Linked DNA regions of Macaca mulatta. The protein of the gene in region 1 interacts with the protein of each later gene in a biochemical or structural test. Links are inferred from orthologs where the notes say so. Each region holds a gene or a part of one and is shown in the gene's direction. Other genes may lie near its edges.

Region 1 (5,875 bases):
TGTATGTGTTCATGTGTATGTTGTGTGTGTGTGTGTGCCCACACTACTACTTCCCTGTGCAGAAAACTTGGCTCCTCCCTTATCTGGGGAGAAGGATTGGCACTATAACTTGGGAAAGGGGGTGTCCTGCCAGGAAGGGGACTGGGGTGGGGCTGTTCCAGAAATGACTAACCTTCCTAGTCTCTTTCATTTCAACCCAAGGACCCTGGAGTTACCAGCTCCTCTGGAACTAGCTCTCTTTGCTGGGACTAGCCAACCTTCATGGGGAGTGATAAGGAGCCCTCCAAGGTCAAGAATTCAGACTAGGGGTATATAAGAGGGATTGGGGCCTCACCAGTCTCCCTCCCTCCATTCCCACTGTTGCCTCCCACTGACTACCACTGCCTCAGGGAAGGGTGGCTGGAACAGGTGGTATCTACCCCCTATTCCCCACCCCACACGTGGTCTTTCGCTGAACCAGAAGAAAGAGACTGGGGTAGGGCTTCAGAGTCCAGGATTTTCCATAGCCCATTGTCCACCACATTTGCAAAGAGTGAACTCCCAAGGCTGACATGCCATGTGCCTCTAGTCTAGGCTTTCCCCTAGTGCGGGTGAGGATTGCCATGGTGAAAGGCTTTTTCATGAACCTCTTCTAACAATGAAATTGGGTGGAGGCTCAGTGTGGGGCATCTCCTACTATTTCTCTCCAGGTGTCCCTGTATTTGCTAAAAAATACTCTAGGGCTGGAAAGTGATGCTGAGGTTGCTAGAGTGTGTTGGGATAGGGAGACAGAGTGAGAAGGAAAGCCTGAGTTTAGGAACGGGGGGAGGCAACCAGCTTCTTATCTTCCAGCTTTAAAGACAAAGCTCCCATTGACCCCCCCCCCCACCCCACCACTGCCAGAGCTCCCTCCTCTACTGAGGTCACTTGTCTGAGCCCAAGGCTTGAGGGTGGAGGGGAGTGCTGCTGAGGATGGGGTGTCTAGGGATAGGGTGGGGCAGCCCCCCTCCTGGATAGAATCGCCTCATTGTGGGCTGGACTGTGGCCCCAGGCACTGCCCCCACCCTCTGCCCCCATCCCACCCTCAGTTGACACAATAGGGGCTGTGTACTAGCCCCAAAGAGATATTTATTCCAGGACCTAGAGAGAGGCAGGATGAGGGTAGAGAAGTGAGTGCCCTGCTTGGAGGGGGAGAGGAGGGTAATCAAAGTTTCGGCCCTTTCCTAACTTCTCTTTTCTAGGGAGGGAAACAAATTCACTGTCATCCTTCTCTATTAACCCCTTAGTACCCAGAGTGGTACCCAAAAGAGGCACAGAGGGGTCTCAGGTAGAAAAAGGAAATCTTCACCTTCCCATTCATAGAATGGTAAAGGGATTCTGAGAAGAGAGAAAGCTCTCAGGCCACTACAGCTTCTGCCTGTCGCTTGTGGGAGGGTTGGAGGCAAATGCCCTCTGATCCTGTCTAATGTAACTGGAAGAGGGCAACCAAGGGGGTGATCTTGGGGGATGGCAGATGGGCTGAGAATTTGTGTCCAGCCCTCAGCCACTCTTCCCTCTGCTTTGAACAGTGTGTCCTGGGACTCTGAATGGCCTGAGTGTGACCGGCGATGCTGAGAACCAATACCAGACACTGTACAAGCTCTACGAGAGGTGTGAGGTGGTGATGGGGAACCTCGAGATTGTGCTCACGGGACACAATGCTGACCTCTCCTTCCTGCAGGTTAATGTGCACCCTCCTTCCTCAACCTGCTCCTCTTTATTCTCCCCTAGAACCCTCCTTCCCTCTTCAGGGCTACCTTCTGCTGGAGTTCACCCTTCCTAAGACGCAGGAGTTCCTAAGATCCAAACCCGCGTATTTCTGGGGACAGTGGCTGTAATCTGGGACCTATGGTCTCGCTGTTGTAGCCAGGGATATATAGGGGGCAGGGGCAGAGGCAGGGGCGGGGCAGGTGGTGTTCTGTGGTAGTGCGAGGTCAGCAGGGACTAGCGCAGAGAGACACCTGAGGACCGAGAGGGTACCTGGGGAGATGAGGAAAGGGCCCGCCTGGCATGAGGAGCTTTGAGGAGAAAGCTGCCTGTCTTCACTCCCAGAAGTGACATAGTAGTGTGACACAGTCTACTCCCTACTCCAAAATAGGAATTAGCAAGAGTTAAGGAGAGGTGCAGTGGCTCATGCCTGTAATCCCAGCACTTTGAGAGGCCAAGGAAGGCAGATCACTTGAGGTCAGGAGTTCAAGACCAGCCTGGGCAACATGGGGAAACCCTGTCTCTACAAAAATACAAAAATTAGCTGGACCTGGTGGCACGCACCTGTAGTCAGCTACTTGAGGGCTGAGGTGGGAGGATCGCTTGAGCCCAGGAGTTTTACACTGCAGTGAGCCGAGATTGTGCCACTGGACTCCAGCCTGGGTGACAGAGCGAGACCGTCTCACCAAAAAAAAAGGTCAAGTGCGGTTGCTCATGCCTGTAATCCCAGGACTTTGGGAGGCCGAGGCAGGCGAATCACCTGAGGTCAGAAGTTTGAGACCAGCCTGACCAACATGGAGAAACCCCATCTCTACCAAAAATACAAAATTAGCCAGATGTGGTGGTGCATGCCTGTAATTCCAGCTACTTGGGAGGCTGCGGCAGGATAATTGCTTGAAGCCGGGTGGCGGAGGTTGTGGTGAGCCAGGATCGCGCCATTGCACTCCAGCCTGGGCAACAAGAGCTAAACTCTGTCTCGAATTTTAAAAAAAAGAAAGAAAGAAAGAAGGAAGAATTAAGAGTTAAGAGTCTTTAATGCCTGAAGGAGGAGAGGGGATTGAGATTTTTTTGCCCTGTTGTCTCTCTCATTGACATAATCTGCTCTGTCACAGTGGATTCGAGAAGTGACAGGCTATGTCCTCGTGGCCATGAATGAGTTCTCTACTCTACCATTGCCCAACCTCCGAGTGGTGCGAGGGACCCAGGTCTACGATGGGAAGTTTGCCATCTTCGTCATGTTGAACTATAACACCAACTCCAGCCACGCTCTGCGCCAGCTCCGCTTGACTCAGCTCACCGGTCAGTTCCCGATGGTTCCTTCCGGCCTCACCCCTCAGCCCTCAGACTGGTACCTGCTTGATGATGACCCAAGGCTGTCCACTCTAAGTGCCTCTTCCAAGGTGCCTGTCACCTTGGTAACTGTCTAATGGTCCATTGCTCCCTAAGCAATAGAGGGCCCCCAGTAGGGGGAGCTAGGGGCATCTACTCCAGGGAAAGGAACCATGTGTCCTGGTGGGGCTGGAGTCAGAGCCGGATCTGTTACCATTTCTCTAACTTCAAAGTACAGTGTACTGGAGGCCAGGCGTGATGGCTCACACCTGTAATCCCAGCATTTTGGGAGGCCAAGGAGGGCAGATCACTTGAGATCAGGAGTTTGAGACCAGCCTGGCCAACATGGCGAAACCCTGTCTCTACTAAAAATACAAACAAAACAAAACAAAACAAAACAAAACAAAACAAAATTAGCTGGGGATAGTGGTGTGCACCTGTAATTTCAGCTGCTCAGGAGGCTGAGGCAGGAGACTCGCTTGAACCTGGGAGGCGGAGGTTGCAGTGAGCCGAGATCGCACCACTGCACTCCAGCATAAGTGACAGTGAGACTGCGTCTCAAAAAAAAAAAAAAAAAGCCAAAGCACAGTATACCTGGATGTCCCTCCTTCCCTAGGAATTCTACCTTTGCTCTCCTAAACCAAACCCCTATGAGCTGAGGAATATAGGAGTTAAAAACCACCTGTCCATCTTCTACTTCTCCCTGTCCCAGTCAGTTGGAAAACATATGGGCAGGGCTTGTGGGAGGGGATGTTGAGTCAGAAATCTTCTCTCCCTCTCTCCCTTCCCCTCCCCCACTAGCTAAACCGGATCTGGACAGGTGACTGAGGAGGCGGGAGTTTCTTTTGGCCTGACTCCTCGTCTTATAAAGGGAGTCTTCTCTGCAGCTTGGATTTAATTGGACCTATCTGTCTGCCTCGTCCTCCCACTCCTGAGTCTCAGGTGTCATTTTGGATGGGTGGAGAGGTAAGGAAGAGGCGTACTGCTGTGGCCCTTAACCCTGTCACTTCTTTCCCTACCTCAGAGATTCTGTCAGGGGGTGTTTATATTGAGAAGAATGATAAGCTTTGTCACATGGACACAATTGACTGGAAGGACATCGTGAGGGACCAAGACGCTGAGATAGTGGTGAAGGACAATGGCAGAAGCTGTAAGTGACTGTGATCAAGACTGCTCCCCAGCCCCACCAAACCGGAGTGACTCCCTTCTTTCTATCATCCTTACATTCCTGATCTGAACCCGCCTCCCCACTGAACAAACACCTCAGGTCCCTGACTCAGCAGCCCACCAGGACGGACCATGCCAGTCCCCTGGAATCTAAACTACAGAGGAGGTGTTTCAAGAAAAGGAGCGGATAGGCCGGGTGCGGTGGCTCACGCCTGTAGTCCCAGCACTTTGGGAGGCCGAGGCGGGCGGATCACGAGGTCAGGAGCTCAAGACCATCCTGACTAACACGGTGAAACCCCGTCTCTACTAAAAATACAAAAAAAAAAAAAAAAAAAAAAAAAAAACACTAGCTGGGCGTGGTAGTGGGCACCTGTAGTCCCGGCTACTCAGGAGGCTGAGGCAGGAGAATGGTGTGAACCCGGGAGGCGGAGCTTGCAGTGAGCTGAGATCATGCCACTGTACTCCAGCCTGGGCCACAGAGCGAGACTCTGTCTCAAAAAAAAAGAAGAAAAGGAGCAGACCGAGCATGGTGGCTCATGCCTATAATCCCAGCACTTTGGGAGGCCAAGGTGGGAGGATCACTTGAGCCCAGGAGTCCAAGACCAGCCTGGGTAACATAGCAAAAAATCTACAAAACATTTAAAAATCAGACAGGCGTAGTGGTTCACAACTGTAATCCCAGCTACTCAGGAGGCTGAAGCAGAGGATTGCTTGAGCCCAGGAGGCTGCAGTTGCAGTGAGCTGTGATTGTGCCTTTGTACTCTAGCCTGGGCAACAGACTGAGACCCTGTCTCAAAAAAAAACAAAAAAAATTCCCTGGGTACTAAGCAGGGAAGCCAGATCTTTAGGCTCCACATCTGTTACTCGTTCCACTAGAATATACTCCCTTCTCCTCAGAGCCCACCTTCCCCTGACCATTCACATGCATATATTCCTGCATATATTCAGTTTGCCCAGGAGGAACCAAGTTCCTGGGTTGGGACTGGGACTAAGATTGGCATTTGCCCCAGTCCCTCCCCTTCAGCTGCCCACTGGGTAGTGTGGAGGCGTGGCCCCACCCCTTGTTGACAGGTTCACTTGAGCCCAGCCCTGCTCTCCAAGGGCAGGGAGGGACACAGCCTTGGCTTTTTGCTTCCCGGGATTGAGGTGCCTGTGTAGTGACATCATACCCTGTTGATTCAAACAAGCCTTTCTTAGCCCTGATGGCCCCTTGTGTTGCCTTCCTTCCCAACCAGGTCCCCTCTGTCATGAGGTTTGCAAGGGGCGATGCTGGGGTCCTGGACCAGAAGACTGCCAAACATGTGGGTTTGAACTTTCCTCCAAAAACTTTACTCATACACTTTCATATCCCTTCCTCCCCAAGCCTGGGTCAATACTGCGGGGGAGGCATGAGCAGTGGCCTCAGGATTCAGTCCTAGGAGCCCTAACAGCCATGCTTTCTCTCCTTCCATAGTGACCAAGACCATCTGTGCTCCTCAGTGTAATGGTCACTGCTTTGGGCCCAACCCCAACCAGTGCTGCCATGATGAGTGTGCCGGGGGCTGCTCAGGCCCTCAGGACACAGACTGCTTTGTATGTATTCTTTCCATTGCCTGGGTTCTGAAATTGGGTTGTGGCCTTTGAGGAGGAGGTAGGGGTACACACATAACATAAA
Region 2 (5,875 bases), on another chromosome or scaffold:
ACAACAATTAACTGAGGATCTATTCTATGCCAAGGGCTAATCTAGGTGCTGAGGATGCAATGGTTCATAGGACAGAAAAGACTTCTGTTCTTTTGGAACTAAATTTGAGACGGGAGGAGAGACAGAAAATCACAAAAGATCATAATAACCATCATAAACCATAACAATCATAAACAAGCTAAGGGATAGAAGATAAAGTCAAGCAATCATAAGTAGGTGCTAGGAATAAAATAAAACAGTAATGGGGCAGAGTGACTAGAATGGAGAGAGGGTCTGCTTTGAATAGGGTGGTGTGGGAGGTCCTTTCTCAGAAGGTAATTCTTTAGCAGAGACTTGAATGATAGGAGGGAGCTGTCACCATTTGAAGAGACAGGGAACAGTGTCCCTGATAGAGGGACCAGCAAGTACAAAATCTTGGTGCATCCAAAGAACAGGGGGTACTGACTTATTGGGAGAACAATAGACAATGAAGGTGGCAGGCCATGATAAAGAATTAGAATTTCTAAAAAGTGCAAAGGGCTATGAATGAATGAATGATGTTGGTATGGCAGGATGTACCAAATGTTCTTGCTGGATTTGTCATGTCACCTGAAGTCATAGTTTGTGCATACTAAAGTGTGCAACAAATATATACCAGAGAACCTCTTTGATTTGGATTGCAAGAAGAATTATAGTGTGTACAGAAACTACTTGAAGATTGATTTTTGCCATTCGGTATGAAGGAAGGGTTTGACAAGGTCTTACTAGTAGTAGAAACCAGGGGGAGGTTGGCTAGGTAAATCTTTTAGGAGAAGAATGAGTGTTAAAAATCTTCTCCAGCATTTTAGACTATCCATCTCTAGGAGCCAAGTGGTTTGTTAATTATGAGTCCTACCTGTTTCTTAAAACAGTCCCCTGTTCACCAAACCTAGCAGCCACTTTGTTAACCAGGTTTAAGTTACAGAATGGACCTGAAAGAAATTTACTAACAGCATTCTTGGATGACTCTCCTCTCCCCAGTGTGTATAACTAGGAAGGTTGGGGCTGATGTACAGTCATCTCACTATGGGTGATGAAACTGATCACACTGCACCAAGCAAGGGCCCCACAATGAGACATTTGGAGCAATGGCCACTTTAGCACATTCACCTTCTGACTCTGAATGGGGTTTATTCAGCCAAAGGGTATCAGCCTGGGAATTTCCTGCAGCATCTTACCATTAGAGGGTTGGGCTGAAATTCGTCCCTGCCTAGAATATGTTATTTGAAGAGAGTCCAGAAACGAGGTTGATGGATGGATGCAGAATAGAAAGAGGTCAATGAAAAAAAAGTGTGAAAAAACTGGGGGTACCAGCCTAAGCAACAGAAACCTGGATGAGCTGAAAGCTCCATGCCTGCATCAACCCATTTGACTTTGTCCTATGTTTTAAGTTTTTTTGCCCTCATTAACAGTGTGCTTTTCAGAACAAGTCAACCTCTTTGTACTTCACTCAATTTTTTTATCTATACATATCTCATCTATGCATCTATGTATTAAAGAAATCATTCTGAAGCCATGTTTTAGCAGCAGCACATTTTCAAATAAATTTTCACTAAAAATTATGGTGTCTTGGAGTGATAGGCATTCTTATTTAGGGTCAGGTTCTGAATTTCCAACTCCCGAGGCACCTCTGAGTAACACTAGAGATTCTGATCACTGGATCTGGGCTAGGGCCCAGGAATCTGCCATTTGAACAAGGCTGTGAGATGATTTTTATTCAGGTGTTTTGAGGATCATGCGTTGGGAATGGGTACTCTAAGATTCTCTGGAACAAGCTTCTGAAAGCTCTGGATTAGCTGATTTGCAAGCAGCCGTCTTGCTCTGACAACCTGTGAATACATCAGCGCATGATAAAGACAAAGCTGGGTGTTACATTTCTACTAAGGGCAGAAGAGGAAAAGAAAGGGATTAAATCAGAGGTCAAAACTAGACAAGCAAAAGATGTGTTTTGCTTAGTCTGCATGGTATTTTTAAAATTCGAGAAGTTCAACTCTTAATTTTTGACTTCTTTTTTAAAAAAAAAATCAGAAAATGTGACAATTCTGATCCCTCATTTTCATGTGCCATACTTTGGTTGGAGTCAAATCATAGCTGTCTCCTTAAGACAGAACTGTTTATTTCATTTTCCACAATCCTCCCCAATCCCTATAGTGTCACACCTCCTGCACGCCATTCATTTACATCCTGCATCGTGGTATTTCAGTCTACAACTGTTAGTTGTAGCATTTGAGTTTGATATAACAAAGGGTCCATCTTGAAAAATCCTTCTCCACTACAAAGGTTGGGAAATTTCAGTTCTTTAAAAATAAGACAGGCCTAATAAACCTCAGGTAGACTCAATGTACTTCTGGAGGTAGCACATGGATCCTAGTGCCAAGGAGTCTGTAATTTCTAGAGGCAGGTTGGTTTGTTTGCTGTCTATGAGCTTTGTCATTCACTGTGCTGTGCTCACCATTTCTCGTAGGTGTGCTGATGTGGGAAGTTTTCAGTGAAGGCAAAATCCCATATGAAAACCGGAGCAACTCAGAGGTGGTGGAAGATATCAGCACCGGATTTCGGTTGTACAAGCCCCGGCTGGCCTCCACACATGTCTACCAGATTATGAATCACTGCTGGAAAGAGGTCAGCAGAGGAAGTGCTTCCCCATGCATTGTCGTATACAATTTCAGGACCTGCCTCCTTCCCTAGAGAAAGGAACCCTCTCGGAAGGATGAGGCAGGAGGGATAACTAATATAGATTAGCAACGACATGACTTTGAGGATCTATTAACGGGATGGATCCCCCATCCCTAAAAAGGAGCTGACGGTGACCTTAAAGGTTATTTGGTTTGCTACATAATGTCACAAGCTATAAGCATAGCTTCAGAGAGGAGGATGGGGTGTGGCCTATGCCAGCTTCCTCCTCGATTTTCTGAGAAGAGAAAAAAAAATCTGTAACATCATAAAACCATTAGAAGTTATAGAAATAACTTCGGGAACGAAGTTCACTTGTGCTATGAAAATATTAAAATGGCTTAATTTGAGTACATTTTATTCATTCAGCAATTTAAAACGGGGAGGCAATTACTCCGTACCCACCCAGGTGGCTCATTTACCTCATCCCTGGACTGCAGGCCATGGCTTGAGTCCCATCACTGTGAGTCTTAGTCTTTGCTGAGTTAGAAAATCATACATTTCAGCCAAAGTGGAAAGTTGCTGAAATAGAGAATTAATAAAAATTCAGATCATTGTAGGACAACAAGGTAGAATACAAAAAATTTAGAACACTAGGATTTTGTCTCAGCTTTACCATTTATTTGCCATTAATCTTTGACAATTCTCTGAACTTCCTTTTTCTTACTGTTGAATTAAATAATGCTTGATCTATGAGCTCATAGAGCTTTTATAATCAGAAAGAAACAAACAATAAAGACATAAACAAGGGCATAAAACAAATCTTATCCACTTCATAAGGATTAGCTGCAATAATAATAATGATGGGTGACATTCAGTTAGCACTTTTTTCCTCTTTTAACCATCATGTATTGATTTTTTTTAATTAATAGACTTTATTTTTTAACAAAGAGTACAGAGTTCTCATATACCCACCTCACCTGAACAGTTTCACTGTTCACTAACATTTGGCATGAGTGTGATACTTTTGTCACAATTAATGAACTTCTATTAATACATTAACTAAAGTTCATAGTTTACATTAAGGTTCAGTCTTTGTGCTGTAGAGTTCTGTAGGTTTTCACAAATTCATAATGCCATGTATCTGTCACTATAGTATCAGACAGAATAGTTTTACTGCCCTAAAAAATCTCCTGTCCTTCACCCATTTATCCCTCTCCTCATCCCCAGACCACTGACAACTACTGATCTTTTCACTGTCTCCATAGCTTTGCCTTTCTCAGCATGCCATATGTTGGCATCATACAGCATGTAGGCTTTTCGGACTGGCTTCTTTCACTCAGTAATATGATTTAAGATCCCTCCATGTCTTTTTGTGGCTTAATAACTAATTTCTTTTTATTGTGAAATAATATTTCATTGTATGGATATATCACAGCTTGTTTATCTACTTACCTACTAAAGGAAATCTTGGTTGCTTTCAGTTTTTGTGTTGTTTGTTTGTTTGGGTTTTGGGGGTTTTGTTTTGTTTTGTTCGAAATGGGGTCTTATTCTGTCACCCAGGCTGGAATGCAGTGGTGCGATCTCAGCTCACTGCAACCTCTGCCTCCCCGTCTCAAGCGGTCCTCCCACTCGGCCTCCCAAGTAGCTGGGACCACAGACATGTGCCACTGTGCCGAGCTAATTTTTTGTATTTTTGGTGGAGATGGGGTTTGCCACACTGCCCAGGTGAGCTCAGGCAATCAATCCACCCACCTCAGGCCTCCTGTAGTGCTGGGATTACAGGTGTGAGTGCTCAGGCAGACTGGTGTCTTTCACTCAGTAATATGCCTTTGAGGTCCCTCCATGTCTTTGGGGCTTGATAGCTCATTTCTCTTTATTGCTAAATAATATTCCATTGTATGGATATACCACAGTTTGTTTATACTTTTACCTGCCAAACGAAATCTTGCTTGCTTTCAGTTTTAAACAATTATGAATAAAGCTGCTATAAATGTTTATGTGGAGATTTTTGTATGCACATAAATTTTCAACTCAATTGGGCAAATGCCTAAGAGTATGCTTGTTGAATCATATGGTAAAACTATGTTTAACTTGTTAAGAAACTGCCAGAATGTCTTCCAAAGTAGCTGTATTATTTTACATTCCCACCAGCAATGAGAGTTCCTCATTAGCATTCGTTGTTTTGGATTTCAGTGGTTCTAATAGATGTGTAGTCATATTATATTGTTGTTTCAATTTGCATTTTCCTAATGACATATGATGTTAAGTATATTTTCATATGCTTATTTGCCACCTGTATATCTTCTTGGTAATATCTATTCAGATCTTTTGCCCATTTTTCAATCAGGTTGTTTGTTTACTTACTGTTGAGTTTTAAGAGTTCTTGGTATATTTTGGATACAAGTCCTTTATCAGACATGTGCTTTGCAAATATTTTCTCCTAGTCTGTGGCTTGTCTTCTTATTCTCTTGACAGTGTCTTTCACAGAGCAGACTTTTAAAATATTTTAACAAAGCTCAACATCAACTTGTTTATTCATGAATTGTGCTTTTGGTTTACATCTAAAAACTCATTGCCAAGCCCAATGTCCCCCAAATTTTCTCCTATGTTATTATGGAAGTTTTATAATTTTGCATTTTTACATTTAGGTCTGTGATCCACTTTGAGTTAATTTTCCTGAAAGGTATAAGGTCTGTGACTAGAGTCATTGTTTCACATATGGATGTCCGATTATTACAGCACTGTTTGTTGAAAGGACTATACCCTTTCTCCTCTGTTCCTTTGTTAAGTATTAGTTTACTATATTTATATGGATCTATATCTGGGCTGATCCATTAATCTGTTTGTTTATTCTTTCACTAGTACCATCCTGTCATTACTGTAGCTTTAAAGTAAGTCCTGAAGTCAGGTAGGGTCAGTCTTCTAGCTTTGTTGTTCTTCTTCATTATCATATTGGCTCTCTGGGTCTTTTGCCTCTCCATATAAATGTTACAGTAAGTTTGTCAATATCTACAAAATAAGCTGCTGAGATTTTTATTAGGATTGCATTGAATCTATAAGTGAAGTTGGGAAGAACTAACATTTTAACACTATAGCGTCTTCCTGTCCATAAGCATGGAGTATCTGTCCATTTATTTAGATCTTCTTTGCTTTCTTTTATTAGAATTTTTAATTTTTTCTCATATAGATCCTATAGATATTTTCTGAGATTTATACCCAGATATTTCATATTTTGGTGTTC
Region 3 (5,875 bases), on another chromosome or scaffold:
ATTGCATTAACAAATGGATTGCATTTTCCACTTTTGAAATTGTAGAGGTGATATTTGCACGTGCCTTATAATTTAGGCCAGTCTTTCCAGGTGTCTCCTTTGTTTAATTTGCACAGAGCTGGGTGAAGTAGGTGTTTTAGTCTTTGCCTGTTCTGAAGCCTGGTCACTTGGTGATCCCTGGTCAGATCAATGTGAGTTCAGTACCACCTCTTTGTGGGCAGGGCCACTGACAGAGCTTCCAGGTGTGTGCCCTCCTGGTGCTCTCTGAGCAGGTGGGCAGTGGGTCAGCAGGAGCACACAGGCGTCAGGGCCAGTGCACCTGGGTTCTAGGCCCACCTCCACCTCCTAGCAGCTGCCTGACCTTGGGCAAATTATTTATTCTCTTTGATCCTCAGTTGCTTATAGATAAACAAGAAAATAGGTCATACTGTGAAAATTAGAGAAAATGCACGATGCTCCTGTCCTGTCAATAAAAGGTACTCAGAAAACAGCAGCTGTTACTGAGGCTGTTACCTTGAATGAATCCCATGGCATATGTCCTGTCATCACTTTCCCTGCCTTGAAGACTTGGTTTATTTTCAGCATTTTGTGTAGCATTTCTACTCCCAGACCCTTCCTTCCCTAGGCTTGACTTTAGGATGGGAGTCACGGCCACTGCAGATGGGCCTATACCCCTGTGTCCACTCTCCCCACTCCTTGCTTCTCTGCATGCTTTCCCTTGGGCACGGTTGAAACAAGAAGAAAGCCTTACGTGGGCGTGTTTTCAGCACCACACCCCAGTACCTCTCAGGACTCTGTCCTAACACGTTGTCCCAGTGTTTTCAAAAAAGCCAGCAGCTGCTGACCATGGTGGTGCATCAGCCTGGAGCCCGGGGCTATGAGGCACATGCTTAGGGCAGGTCCCTCCAGAGGGCTCCTGGGCCAGGCTTGGTGACTGCTGTTAGGTAGTGGCTCACGTCTCTCAAATTCCAGGTGCCCACGCAGCGTGGGCTTCCCACCACCAGCAGCTCCCTGGCTGTGGAATGCTTGCAATTTCACAGTTGAGAAAGTAGAAGGTGGGGGAGGCCCATGGGGTGCGGCATGTGCTGACTACAAACTCCAGCTTATTTTAGGAGGCTCTTGGCAAGGACCTGCTGTGTGTGGTCGCGGCAATTGGCCAGTCAGCACATTGAGGCTCGGGAGTCCCAGAATGCCAGAGTCATGGCCATGATTAATAATAGCAGCCGATGCCTCAGCCCTTCCTGCCCACACTTTAGTTCAAAATTTTATTTTCTTGACATTCCATGTATGGAAATCAGCGCGTGAAGGTCAGCCTCAAGTGTCTGTGATCCTGAGACATTCACCAGGCACCTACTTGGCCCAAAGTTGCTGTGCCAAGCAGGAAGACCCAAACCAATTCCTGTACTTTCTCTTTTCATTGAATTTCATATTGACCTTTGAGCAGACATTCAGTTTTTTTTCCTTTTTTTTTTTTTTTTTTTTTTGAGACAGAGTCTTGCTCTCTTGCCCAGGCTGGAGTGCAGTGGCACGATCACTGCTTACTACATCCTCTGCCTCGCAGGTTCAAGCAATTCTCCTGCCTCAGCCTCCTGACTAGCTGAGACTACAGGCATGCACCACCACACCTGGCTAATTTCTGTATTTTTAGTAGAGACGGGTTTCACCAAGACATTCAATTTAATAGGAATTTGCTACCCAGCACCTAGCTGATGCTCAACAAATGTTAGACAGGTCTATGAACGGAAGCTCTTCTTTGTCTAAGATGAACAGTCCATTCTTGGGGATTTATGAGCCGAGCTGGCCTCAACGTTCACAGTCATGATGAAATTAACAATGAGCCCCAAAGGCAAGATGATTCAAAAGGTGAAGAATCCCAGAGTTCAGAATGACAATTTGTTCTGCATGGAAAGGTAGAAATGATTCAAGCACCTGAAGATGTTTATTTGAATGCCTTTTCATTGGCATCCTCCAGAGTCTATATAGAACTTTGTGATCTTAGAGGGATCTTTGTCCCTGCTTATTGTAAATCATATTTTGAATCCATTTATTTGTTTAGACAAATGCACACACTCATTCTGAGGGTGTGAGACTTGCTTTCATCCCGGACTGAAAGCCTCTCTCTGGTTTTCTCCCCCGCAGTGCTACACACGCAGGGCCCTGTCGATGGCAGCCTTTACGCGAAGGTGAGGAAGAAAAGCTCCTCAGATCCTGGCATCCCAGGTGGCCCCCAGGCCGTCCCGACCACCAACAGCCCAGACCACAGTGACCACACCTTGTCTGTCAGCAGTGACTCCGGCCACTCTACAGCCTCTGCCAGGACTGATAAGACGGAAGAGCGCCTGGCTCCAGGAACCAGGAGGGGCCTGAGCGCCCAGGAGAAGGCCGAGTTGGACCAGCTGCTCAGTGGCTTTGGCCTGGAGGATCCTGGAAGCTCCCTCAAGGAAATGACTGATGCTCGAAGCAAGTACAGTGGGACTCGCCACGTGGTGCCGGCCCAGGTTCATGTGAATGGAGACGCTGCTCTGAAGGACCGGGAGACGGACATTCTGGATGACGAGATGCCCCACCACGACCTGCACAGTGTGGACAGCCTTGGGACCCTGTCCTCCTCGGAAGGGCCTCAGTCGGCCCACCTGGGTCCCTTCACCTGCCACAAGAGCAGCCAGAACTCACTCCTATCTGACGGTTTTGGCAACAACGTTGGTGAAGATCCGCAGGGCACCCTTGTTCCGGACCTGGGCCTTGGCATGGACGGCCCCTATGAGCGGGAGCGGACTTTCGGAAGTCGAGAACCCAAGCAGCCCCAGCCCCTGCTGAGAAAGCCCTCAGTGTCCTCTCAGATGCAGGCCTACGGGCAGAGCAGCTACTCCACACAGACCTGGGTGCGCCAGCAGCAGATGGTTGTAGCTCACCAGTATAGCTTCGCCCCCGATGGGGAAGCCCGGCTGGTGAGCCGCGGCCCTGCAGACAATCCCGGCCTCGTCCAGGCCCAGCCCAGAGTCCCACTCACCCCCACCCGAGGGACCAGCAGTAGGGTGGCTGTCCAGAGGGGTGTAGGCAGTGGGCCACACCCCTCTGACACACAGCAGCCCTCTCCCAGCAAAGCGTTCAAACCCAGGTTTCCAGGCGACCAGGTTATGAATGGAGCTGGCCCAGAGCTGAGCACAGGCCCCTCCCCGGGCTCACCCACCCTGGACATCGACCAGTCCATCGAACAGCTCAACAGGCTGATCCTGGAGCTGGATCCCACCTTCGAACCCATCCCTACCCACATGAATGCCCTCGGTAGCCAGGCCAATGGCTCTGTGTCTCCGGACAGCGTGGGAGGCGGGCTCCGGGCAAGCAGCAGACTGCCTGACACAGGAGAGGGCCCCAACAGGACCCCTGGGCGGCAAGGTGAGCTGGGGCTCCACGGGAGGTGCTCCACGGGAGGCTAATGTGTGATGAGAAATCAGCCTAGTAGGTTCGCTTTTGGCAAAACCCACAAGGGAGGGACGTTTCCCTTGCAGTTTGAACTCTCGTGAATTTTGGCCTAGGATCCAAATGCTGTCGTGCTGGTGTGGTCCCTTGGTGGGAGATTTGGAGGGTGGGAGAACCAGGCAGAAGACCCGCTGTTAACATCAGTGCAGGGGCAGGGAAGGGCCCCTCATGCCTTCATTGCAGAATGGGCTTAACAGTGAAACCGTTCTCCCTTCATGAATGCTGGTGGATTTACGAAGGAAGCATACTTCTGTCCTTGTGGTGTAGATCAGGGCTTTGTGGAAAAATGCCAGCTACTTCAGTGGGGCTGAAGGTTGGGGATGAAGAGGACTGCTGAGCCCTCAGACAGCTTTGTCACAAGGAAGTGATTCAGCAGTGGTGGTATAAAATGTTCTGATTACAAATACACGTGTCAGAGTTGGCCATGGTGGTGTCGGGGGACTGGTTATGGAAGGCAGTGCCTGGGTGGAGGCTCGGGGTCCACAAGGGGTTCTACCACGGAGAGCAGCTTAGTGATGGGAGGGGCTTGGGGGAGCAGGCTCATGGGTGAGGGGACTGAGAGCTGTGGTGGGACCCAGAGCCATGGGGCCAGGTGCAGGGGCCTCCTGGGGATGCCCCAAAACCAGGTGGGGGTCATGCTAACTGCAGGGAGGCCAAGACTGCACGTGTCCTTTTCCCCTGAGGCTGGTGGTTTAGAAACCAGCACAGGGCCTTTCTGCCTGGCTTTGAGGCCTGGGAAGAACCAGGGCTGGGAGTGGTGGACAAGCAGTGACCTCTGCCTAGGTTACAGCAGCACTGTCTTCAAGCTGCATTGATGTAATGGGGCAAGTTGCATGTTGGGACCAGATTACTATACAGTGTTCTTTCTGTTGGGAAGTCATGAAAGCCGAGGGGACCAGAGAGCTGGAGGTGGTCATGTCGGCCAGGAAAGACACTCAGCAGGCAGAGAAGGGCACTGAAACGGAGCAGGGTTGTCTCAGTAGGGGACTGTGTGGGTGAGATCATGTGGTCTGGAAGCTTCTGCACAGAGGTGCACGCCAGGGGAGGGCAGCCAGGCTGTAGCGGCTATGCCTGGGGGCCACTGGGAGGCTACAGGAGGTGGAGAGACAGAGCTGTGTTCTGGGAGCCCTGGCAGTGATATGCAGGGACCGGGACCCAAGGATAACCTTGGGCCAGAGAGTGTGGCATCCATATGATGCCAGGGCCTCCCACATTGGCACGTTGGGGTGTGTTGGCAAATGGGGGCCGCTGGCTCCTTAGAGGGACTTGCCTCTAGAAGTGAAGACCAGAGAGGTAAAGGACGAGGGAGAATATGGCTATGTGACACTGTGCATGTGATTCCCACCATGGGCTGGTAACACTGATGAGAGATGCTACCATTTATGCCCGCGTGGTTCTTGGTTTAGGTGTGCTGGCCCATGTCATCATCCTAAGCACCTTGGCTGCAGGCACCAGTCCCTGCCTTATAGTCGTGTTGACGGAGATGTCAGTAGGTTACATGGCCCACCCAGGTTCACATGGGACCGGCGTAGTAGAGCAAATGTCTGTGCCCTGCGGTGTGGACTCAGTGTCTCCAGCCTCTTTGGAGTCACACAGGTGAGGACTGCAGTCCCAACTCAGGTCTGGGGTGGCCTGGGGGAAGGAGCACACGCTCTGCAGATGTTGATCCTGGTGTCAGGTCTGAGTGTGCTGTGGGCTGCCTGAGTGACGCACGTGTGTAAAGGGCAGTGTCTCTGTGAATTTCTCTTCACTCCATCTGTGAGAAGGAAACCCTATCCCAGTGCCTGGCCCAGGGAAGGTGTGAAGAAAGGCTCGTCCACATCCACCTCTCACTTACTAGGGGTGTGACTGAGCAAACAGCTGTCATTCCAGCCTGCCTGAGTAACTCTGTCTTTGTATGTCCTGAGCTGGGAGTTTGAAGGAGCCTGGAGAGTCCCCCATGAGTAGATTATTGGACTTTACAATACAGCGGTATACCAACCACAACACCACAGCAGGGTAGCGGTTCCTGAACAATAGGTCCAGGTTGATGCATTAAACAAATATATTTGGGAAATTCTGAGTTTACAAAAAGGCTCCAATGAGAACAAAACTGTCTGCAGTATCACACCTGACTTACTTCATCAAACCTTCTTGAAAGAAGTTACTTGGAAACATTAAAATCAGAAGTCTTTTCTCCTGGATAACAATCTCATGCAGGTTTGGAGGAGGCTGGAGGCATCTGAGTGTATGTGGAGAAGAGGACTCCATGGCTTAGGTTAACATATAGTGGTCTCTTGAGGTTAATATGTCTTCCAATTGATTGAATTCAATCCTTAGTGATTCCCCATTCTTGCTGCAAATAAACAGTTATAAGGCCTGGAGTTTTAGAAAGCCACATCATATTATTCACCCT
Region 4 (5,875 bases), about 120 kb from region 1:
CCGTCTCTACTAAAAATACAAAAAATTAGCCGGGCGCGGTGGCGGGCGCCTGTAGTCCCAGCTACTCAGGAGGCTGAGGCAGGAGAATGGCATGAACCTGGGAGGCGGAGCTTGCAGTGAGCCGAGATCGCGCCACTGCACTCCAGCCTGGGCGACAGAGCGAGACTCTGTCTCAAAAAATAAATAAATAAATAAATAAAAATAAAAATACAAAAATTAGCCAGGTGTGGGGCCGGGTGTGGTGGCTCACGCCTGTAATCCCAGCACTTTGGGAGGCCAAGGCAGGCAGATCATGAGGTCAGGAGATTGAGACCATCCTGGCTAACACGGTGAAACCCCATCTCTACAAAAATACAAAAAATTAGCCAGGTGTGGTGGCAGGCGCCTGTAGGGGAAAGCTACTTGGGAGACTGAGGCAGGAGAATGGCGTGAACCAGGGAGGAGGAGCTTGCAGTGAGCCGAGATCACGCCACTGCACTGTAGCCTAAGCAACAGAGCAAGACTCTGTCTCAAAAAAAAAAAAAAAAATTAGCCAGGTGTGGTGGTGCATGCCTGTAATCCCAGCTACTTGGGAGGCTGAGGCATGAGAATCGCTTAAAACCAGGAGGTAGAGGTTGCAGTGAGCTGAGATCACACCATTGCACTCCAGCCTGGGCTGGACTCTGTTCCCCCTAACTAACTAAGAAATAAAAAGAATGTTGATAGCTGGGGCTGTGAATATAGGGCTTCTCTGAAGCAATAAGTGCACAGGCAGAATCTGTAGGAGGAAAAGGAGAGCTGTGCAGTAGATAAAAACAGTGTGTCAAAATAAATAAATAGTCCCAGTGCGGTGGCTCACGCCTATAATCCCAGCACTTGGGAGGCTGAGGCGGGCGGATCACCTGAGGTCAGGAGTTCAAGACCAGTGTAGCCAACATGGTGAAACCCTGTCTCTACTAAAAATACAAAAATTAGCCAGGCGTCGTGGCGGGCACCTGTAATCCCAGCTGCTCAGGAGGCTGAGGCACAAGAATTGCTTGAACCCCATGAGGCAGAGGTTGCAGTGAGCCAAGACTGTGCCATTACACTCCAACCTGGGCAACAAGAGTGAAACCTGGTCTCAAAAAAAAAAAAGTAAAATAAGAGGCCAGGCACAGTGGCTCACACCTGTAATCCCAGCACTTTGGGAGGCCAAGGCGGTGCAGATCACATGAGGCCAAGAGTTTGAGACCAGCCTGGCTAACATGGGGAAACCCGTTTCTACTAAAAATACAAAAAGTTAGCTGGGCATGGTGGCGCACGCCTGTAATCCCAGAGGCAGGAGAAATCGCTTGAACCTGGGAGGCAGAGGTTGCGCTGAGCTGAGATCGTGCCATTGCACTCCAGTTTGCGCAACAAGAGCGAAACTCCATGTCAAAAAAAAAAAAAAGATAAAAAATAAAATAAGATAAATATAAAAAGTAGATAAAACACTGTGTCTTGATTGGGGAAAGAAATTTAAGGAAAATAGCAAAGGGGCAAGTAGGAAGCTTGGAAGAAGAAAGTGAAGGGAATGAATGAGGGAGGCCTGAAATGAATGTTAGAAATTTTGGGTAGGACAAAATCTACTCAGCAGTTATCTGCCACAGAATAGGCCATTTGCATACATGTCCTGGTGATCACCCCTGTTCTGCTCTTTCCCCACCCTGGTCTGCAGCCTGGAGATGCCCAAAGATGAGCTGCCCAACCATAACTGCATTAAGCACCTGCGCTCAGTGGTACAGCAGCAGCAGACACGCATCGCAGAGCTGGAGAAGACGTCAGCTGAACACAAACACCAGCTGGCGGAGCAGGTAGGCCCCAAGACACGGGGGAGAACATATCCCTCATATGCAGATAACTGCCTGCCTGTGGGTAATAAAACCAGTTGTGAACACATAGACCTGTGCTTACACTTGTGAGTTTGGATGAGTGGCTATTCTGCCTGTGGCTTAGCAGGGAATCAGATTGGAGCTCTCCTTGACTTTCCTTCATCCCATTCATAGCATTCATTCACCTAACAGTTACCAGATGCCTCCTCTGTGAAGGCACATTTTGTAAGTACTAAGGAGACAGCTGTGAGTGAGACAGTCCTATCCCTGTCTTCCTGAAGCTTACAAACTGGTTGTTCTTCAGATCTCTCAGTTGTCCTCATTCTCGGATAAACTTTTGTCTTTTTTCTGCTGTCTGCCTTAACCATTATTCCTGTTCTTCTTCTCCACAACAGAAGCGAGACATCCAGCTGCTAAAGGCATACATGCGTGCAATCCGCAGTGTCAACCCCAACCTTCAGAACCTGGAGGAGACAATTGAATACAACGAGATCCTAGAGTGAGTGTCACTCAGGACATGGAGTGATTCCACGTCCTGACAGTAAGGCCTGAAAGGCGCTAAGAGCAGGAGAGTAGCAGAAGGAGGGCATTGGAGAGCTGGGCTGGGGGGTCACTGCTTCTCAGATATTAGCATTAAGGACAGGGGCCGAGGAGAAGAGGATAACCCTTAGCTCCACTACAGGATGTCTTACGCGTTTGGGTGGATGGAAGGGAAAGCCTACCCAAGGATGCACTTTATCCAGAATTAAGTGAGTACCCATGTACAAAGCCCTGTATTAAAGGCTGTGGAGTGCTAGGAGGGCCAAAAAGAAATAGAAGATAGGCCGGGCGTGGTGGCTCACACCTGTAATCCCAGCACTTTGGGAGGCTGAGGCGGGCAGATCACGAGGTCAGGAGATCGAGACCATCCTGGCTAACACGGTGAAACCCCGTCTCTACTGAAAAAAAAAAACAAAAAAATTAGCTGGGCGTGGTGATGGGCGCCTGCAGTCCCAGCTACTCCGGAGGCTGAGGCAGGAGAATGGCGTGAACCCGGGAGGCGGAGCTTGCAGTGAGCCGAGATCGCGCCACTGCACTCCAGCCTGGGCAACAGAGTGAGACTCCATCTCAAAAAAAAAAAAAAAGAAATAGAAGATATTATCCCTGTCTTCAGGTAGCTTACAACCCAGAGAAGAGGAGGCAGAGTGCAAGTCCAGGAAAGTGATCTCTAAAATGCAGCAAAAACAAGTGAAGTATACAAGCGAAGTCTAAGATCTTTTTCAGTTCTGGAGTCCTATACAGTTCATAGACTAAACTGTAAGTGTGAATCAATATATATAGGGCAAATAGTGCTGAGTGGGACATAGTATAGAGGAATAATTGTTTTATTCACTAAACATAGAGCACTAACTGTGTTAGGTGCTGTATGTGCTAAGTATTGGAATTTCAAAGAAAAGTAACAGGGACAGAGTGGAATTTAATCTGGTGCGTAACGTTTGGTGACTCAGTTGGGACCAACTGGGGAAAATTCGGGGTTTCTGAGCCAATCATGGAAGGAAAGAAGGAAGAATAGGTGAGCTGAGTGCAGAGTGGGTAGTTATTTCTATTAGCAGAAAAAGCCAATACAGAGAAAGGAGATGATCTGGAATGACCATCTTTAACCACCTCCACACAGGTGGGTGAACTCCCTTCAGCCAGCAAGAGTGACCCGCTGGGGAGGGATGATCTCGACTCCTGATGCCGTGCTCCAGGCTGTAATCAAGCGCTCCCTGGTGGAGAGTGGCTGTCCTGCTTCTATTGTCAACGAGCTGATTGAAAATGCCCATGAGCGTAGCTGGCCCCAGGGTCTGGCCACACTAGAGACTAGACAGATGAACCGACGCTACTATGAGAACTACGTGGCCAAGCGCATCCCTGGCAAGCAGGCTGTTGTCGTGATGGCCTGTGAGAACCAACATATGGGTGATGACATGGTGCAGGAGCCAGGCCTTGTCATGATATTTGCTCATGGCGTGGAAGAGATATAGAACTCGACCGGCTATCAGGAAGAGATGGAAATCAGAAAATCCCATCACTCCAGCAGCTGGGACCTGAGTCCTCTCCACCATCCTTAATACTGTGGCTTATACCTGAGCCACACATCTCACTGCCCTTCTGGCACTGAAGGGCCCTGGGGTAGTTTGCTCAGCCTTTCAGGTGGGAAACCCAGATTTCCTCCCTTTGCCATATTCCCCTAAAATGTCTATAAATTGTCAGTCTGAGTGGGAAAGCCCCCACCTCCATCCATTTTCCTGCTTAGGGTTCCTGGTTCCAGTTATTTTCAGAAAGCACAAAGAGATTCAATTTCCCTGGAGTGTCAGGACAGAGTAAGGAATCTCTAGTCGTCCCTCTCCTCCAAAACCAGGGAATCAGAGCAGGCAGGCCTGTTGACTCTAAGCAGCAGACATCCTGAAGAAATGGTAAGGGTGGAGCCAAATCTCTAGAAATAAGTAGTGAGGCCAGTAATTGGCCATCACGGATGGCCCTTAGGGGAAGACTGGACCTCTGTGCCAAGCAGTATCCCTGTTCAGTCCACCTTAAAGGTGCAGGCACCCACTGGGTCTACCAGTATGCAGGTTGGGATACTGAAAATTTCCAGATGAGCTCTTCTTTCCTATAAGTTTTCATAATTAGGGAATGCCAGGGTTTAGGGTAGGGGTTAGTCTGTTGGGGTTGATGTGTTCAGCAAGAAGCTACTCCTAGCTTTTGCTAAAATATGGTCAGCACTGCCTCTTGTGGCACAGGCCATAATTGTTCCATAGAGCCCTCTCTAGCCCTGTGACTGTAGTTAGTTACTTTGATAATTTTCTTTGGCCATTGTTTATATTTCACAAACTCCACCTACTTCCCCTCCCCGTCCCCCTTTTTTTTTAAGAATGGCCTGATCATGGCTATCTCAGCCACATTGTTGGCAATTTAATTTATTTACCTTTTTTTTTTTTTTTTTTAAAGAAAGGAAAAAAGAAAAAAAATCAAACTTGAAACTTTTGATGTTCCTATTGTGGGGATTTTGGATAGGGTGGGACAGGGATGGGGGTGTGTTTTATATTTTTTCCTTTTCAGCACAACCTTTGGCTTTAATATAGGAAGAGCCAAGGGAGTCCTCGGCTGAACTTACAATATCTGCCCCAAACCTCTGTAACCCCAACTGAAATGAGGAGCTTCCTCTATTCCTGTGAAGGATATGACAGTCCAGCATCGATGCCTGTGCCCTCTGGAAAAATTTCCTCCTAGCCCTTCCAGGGCCTCATCATAAAACTCTGGATTTAGAGTATTCATTTTGAAGGCAACCCCCCGCTTCCCCAAGTTTTCTTGGAGCTGTATAGCTGGGTTCTAAGCTTCACCATGCAAATCAGAAATTTTATCTCTAAGTACAGGCTGTGCTGTGTCTCACCCACACCCCCCGGGGACTTCAGTTCCATTTCAGGTTACCTGGGGCATACCTTGATCCCTAGAGTGACTGGCAGAGTAAGTAAGAGAAGGGGAGGGATAGTAGGTGTGATAATTTTAATATGGAGGTGGGAGTGTGGTTGGAGATAGAAAGTCTCCTCCCCACCATGTGATAGCTTCCTCTCAGAGTTTTATTCCAGGCTAGCTTGCTGCAGGTCTGGGTAGTTGGATCATGGCTCCACTGGGATTGGGGTGGAGGGATACAGCTTGAGGGGAGTAGGGTTCCAGCTCCGGGACATTGTGCTCAGGAATTTGAAAACGCTGCTATACTTATTCTGGTTACTACATTTCTTCCAATCCCCTTTCCCCTACCTGCCTTACCAAGGCTTATACTGTCCTGTCCTTACCCTCAGATGGAGCCAGGAAGCTCAGTGAAAGGCTTCCCTACCCTTTGCACTAGTGTCTCTGCGGGTTGCTGGTTGTGTTGTATGTGCTGTTCCATGGTGTTGACTGCACTAATAATAAACCTTTTACTCAACTCTCTAAATTCTTCAACATTACTCCCTTTCCTGGGAAGGTTTCCCCTCTGCTTTTGCCTTTCTCTCACCTTAATTCCCCTTCTTCCTTACTTTGTTACC

The links.
Region 2: the proteins of ERBB3 (region 1) and ITK form a complex in vitro, tested with the Homo sapiens proteins (2 studies listed by BioGRID and IntAct, with this or other methods). The link is inferred for Macaca mulatta from reciprocal best matches to the Homo sapiens genes ERBB3 and ITK.
Region 3: the proteins of ERBB3 (region 1) and TNS3 form a complex in vitro, tested with the Homo sapiens proteins (2 studies listed by BioGRID and IntAct, with this or other methods). The link is inferred for Macaca mulatta from reciprocal best matches to the Homo sapiens genes ERBB3 and TNS3.
Region 4: the proteins of ERBB3 (region 1) and RNF41 form a complex in vitro, tested with the Homo sapiens proteins (2 studies listed by BioGRID). The link is inferred for Macaca mulatta from reciprocal best matches to the Homo sapiens genes ERBB3 and RNF41.

Annotation. Positions count from the first base shown.
Region 1 is NC_133416.1:63,233,894-63,239,768, forward strand, and holds part of ERBB3 (receptor tyrosine-protein kinase erbB-3), read left to right. Parts: intron 1-1,547; coding exon 1,548-1,699; intron 1,700-2,837; coding exon 2,838-3,024; intron 3,025-4,078; coding exon 4,079-4,204; intron 4,205-5,456; coding exon 5,457-5,522; intron 5,523-5,674; coding exon 5,675-5,793; intron 5,794-5,875. UniProt on the Homo sapiens protein: Tyrosine-protein kinase that plays an essential role as cell surface receptor for neuregulins.
Region 2 is NC_133411.1:166,117,249-166,123,123, forward strand, and holds part of ITK (tyrosine-protein kinase ITK/TSK), read left to right. Parts: intron 1-2,482; coding exon 2,483-2,640; intron 2,641-5,875. UniProt on the Homo sapiens protein: Tyrosine kinase that plays an essential role in regulation of the adaptive immune response. Regulates the development, function and differentiation of conventional T-cells and nonconventional NKT-cells.
Region 3 is NC_133408.1:81,237,765-81,243,639, forward strand, and holds part of TNS3 (tensin-3), read left to right. Parts: intron 1-2,139; coding exon 2,140-3,396; intron 3,397-5,875. UniProt on the Homo sapiens protein: May act as a protein phosphatase and/or a lipid phosphatase. Involved in the dissociation of the integrin-tensin-actin complex. EGF activates TNS4 and down-regulates TNS3 which results in capping the tail of ITGB1.
Region 4 is NC_133416.1:63,356,560-63,362,434, reverse strand, and holds the end of RNF41 (E3 ubiquitin-protein ligase NRDP1), read left to right. Parts: intron 1-1,675; coding exon 1,676-1,811; intron 1,812-2,224; coding exon 2,225-2,328; intron 2,329-3,483; coding exon 3,484-3,835; 3' UTR 3,836-5,784; downstream 5,785-5,875. UniProt on the Homo sapiens protein: Acts as E3 ubiquitin-protein ligase and regulates the degradation of target proteins. Polyubiquitinates MYD88. Negatively regulates MYD88-dependent production of pro-inflammatory cytokines.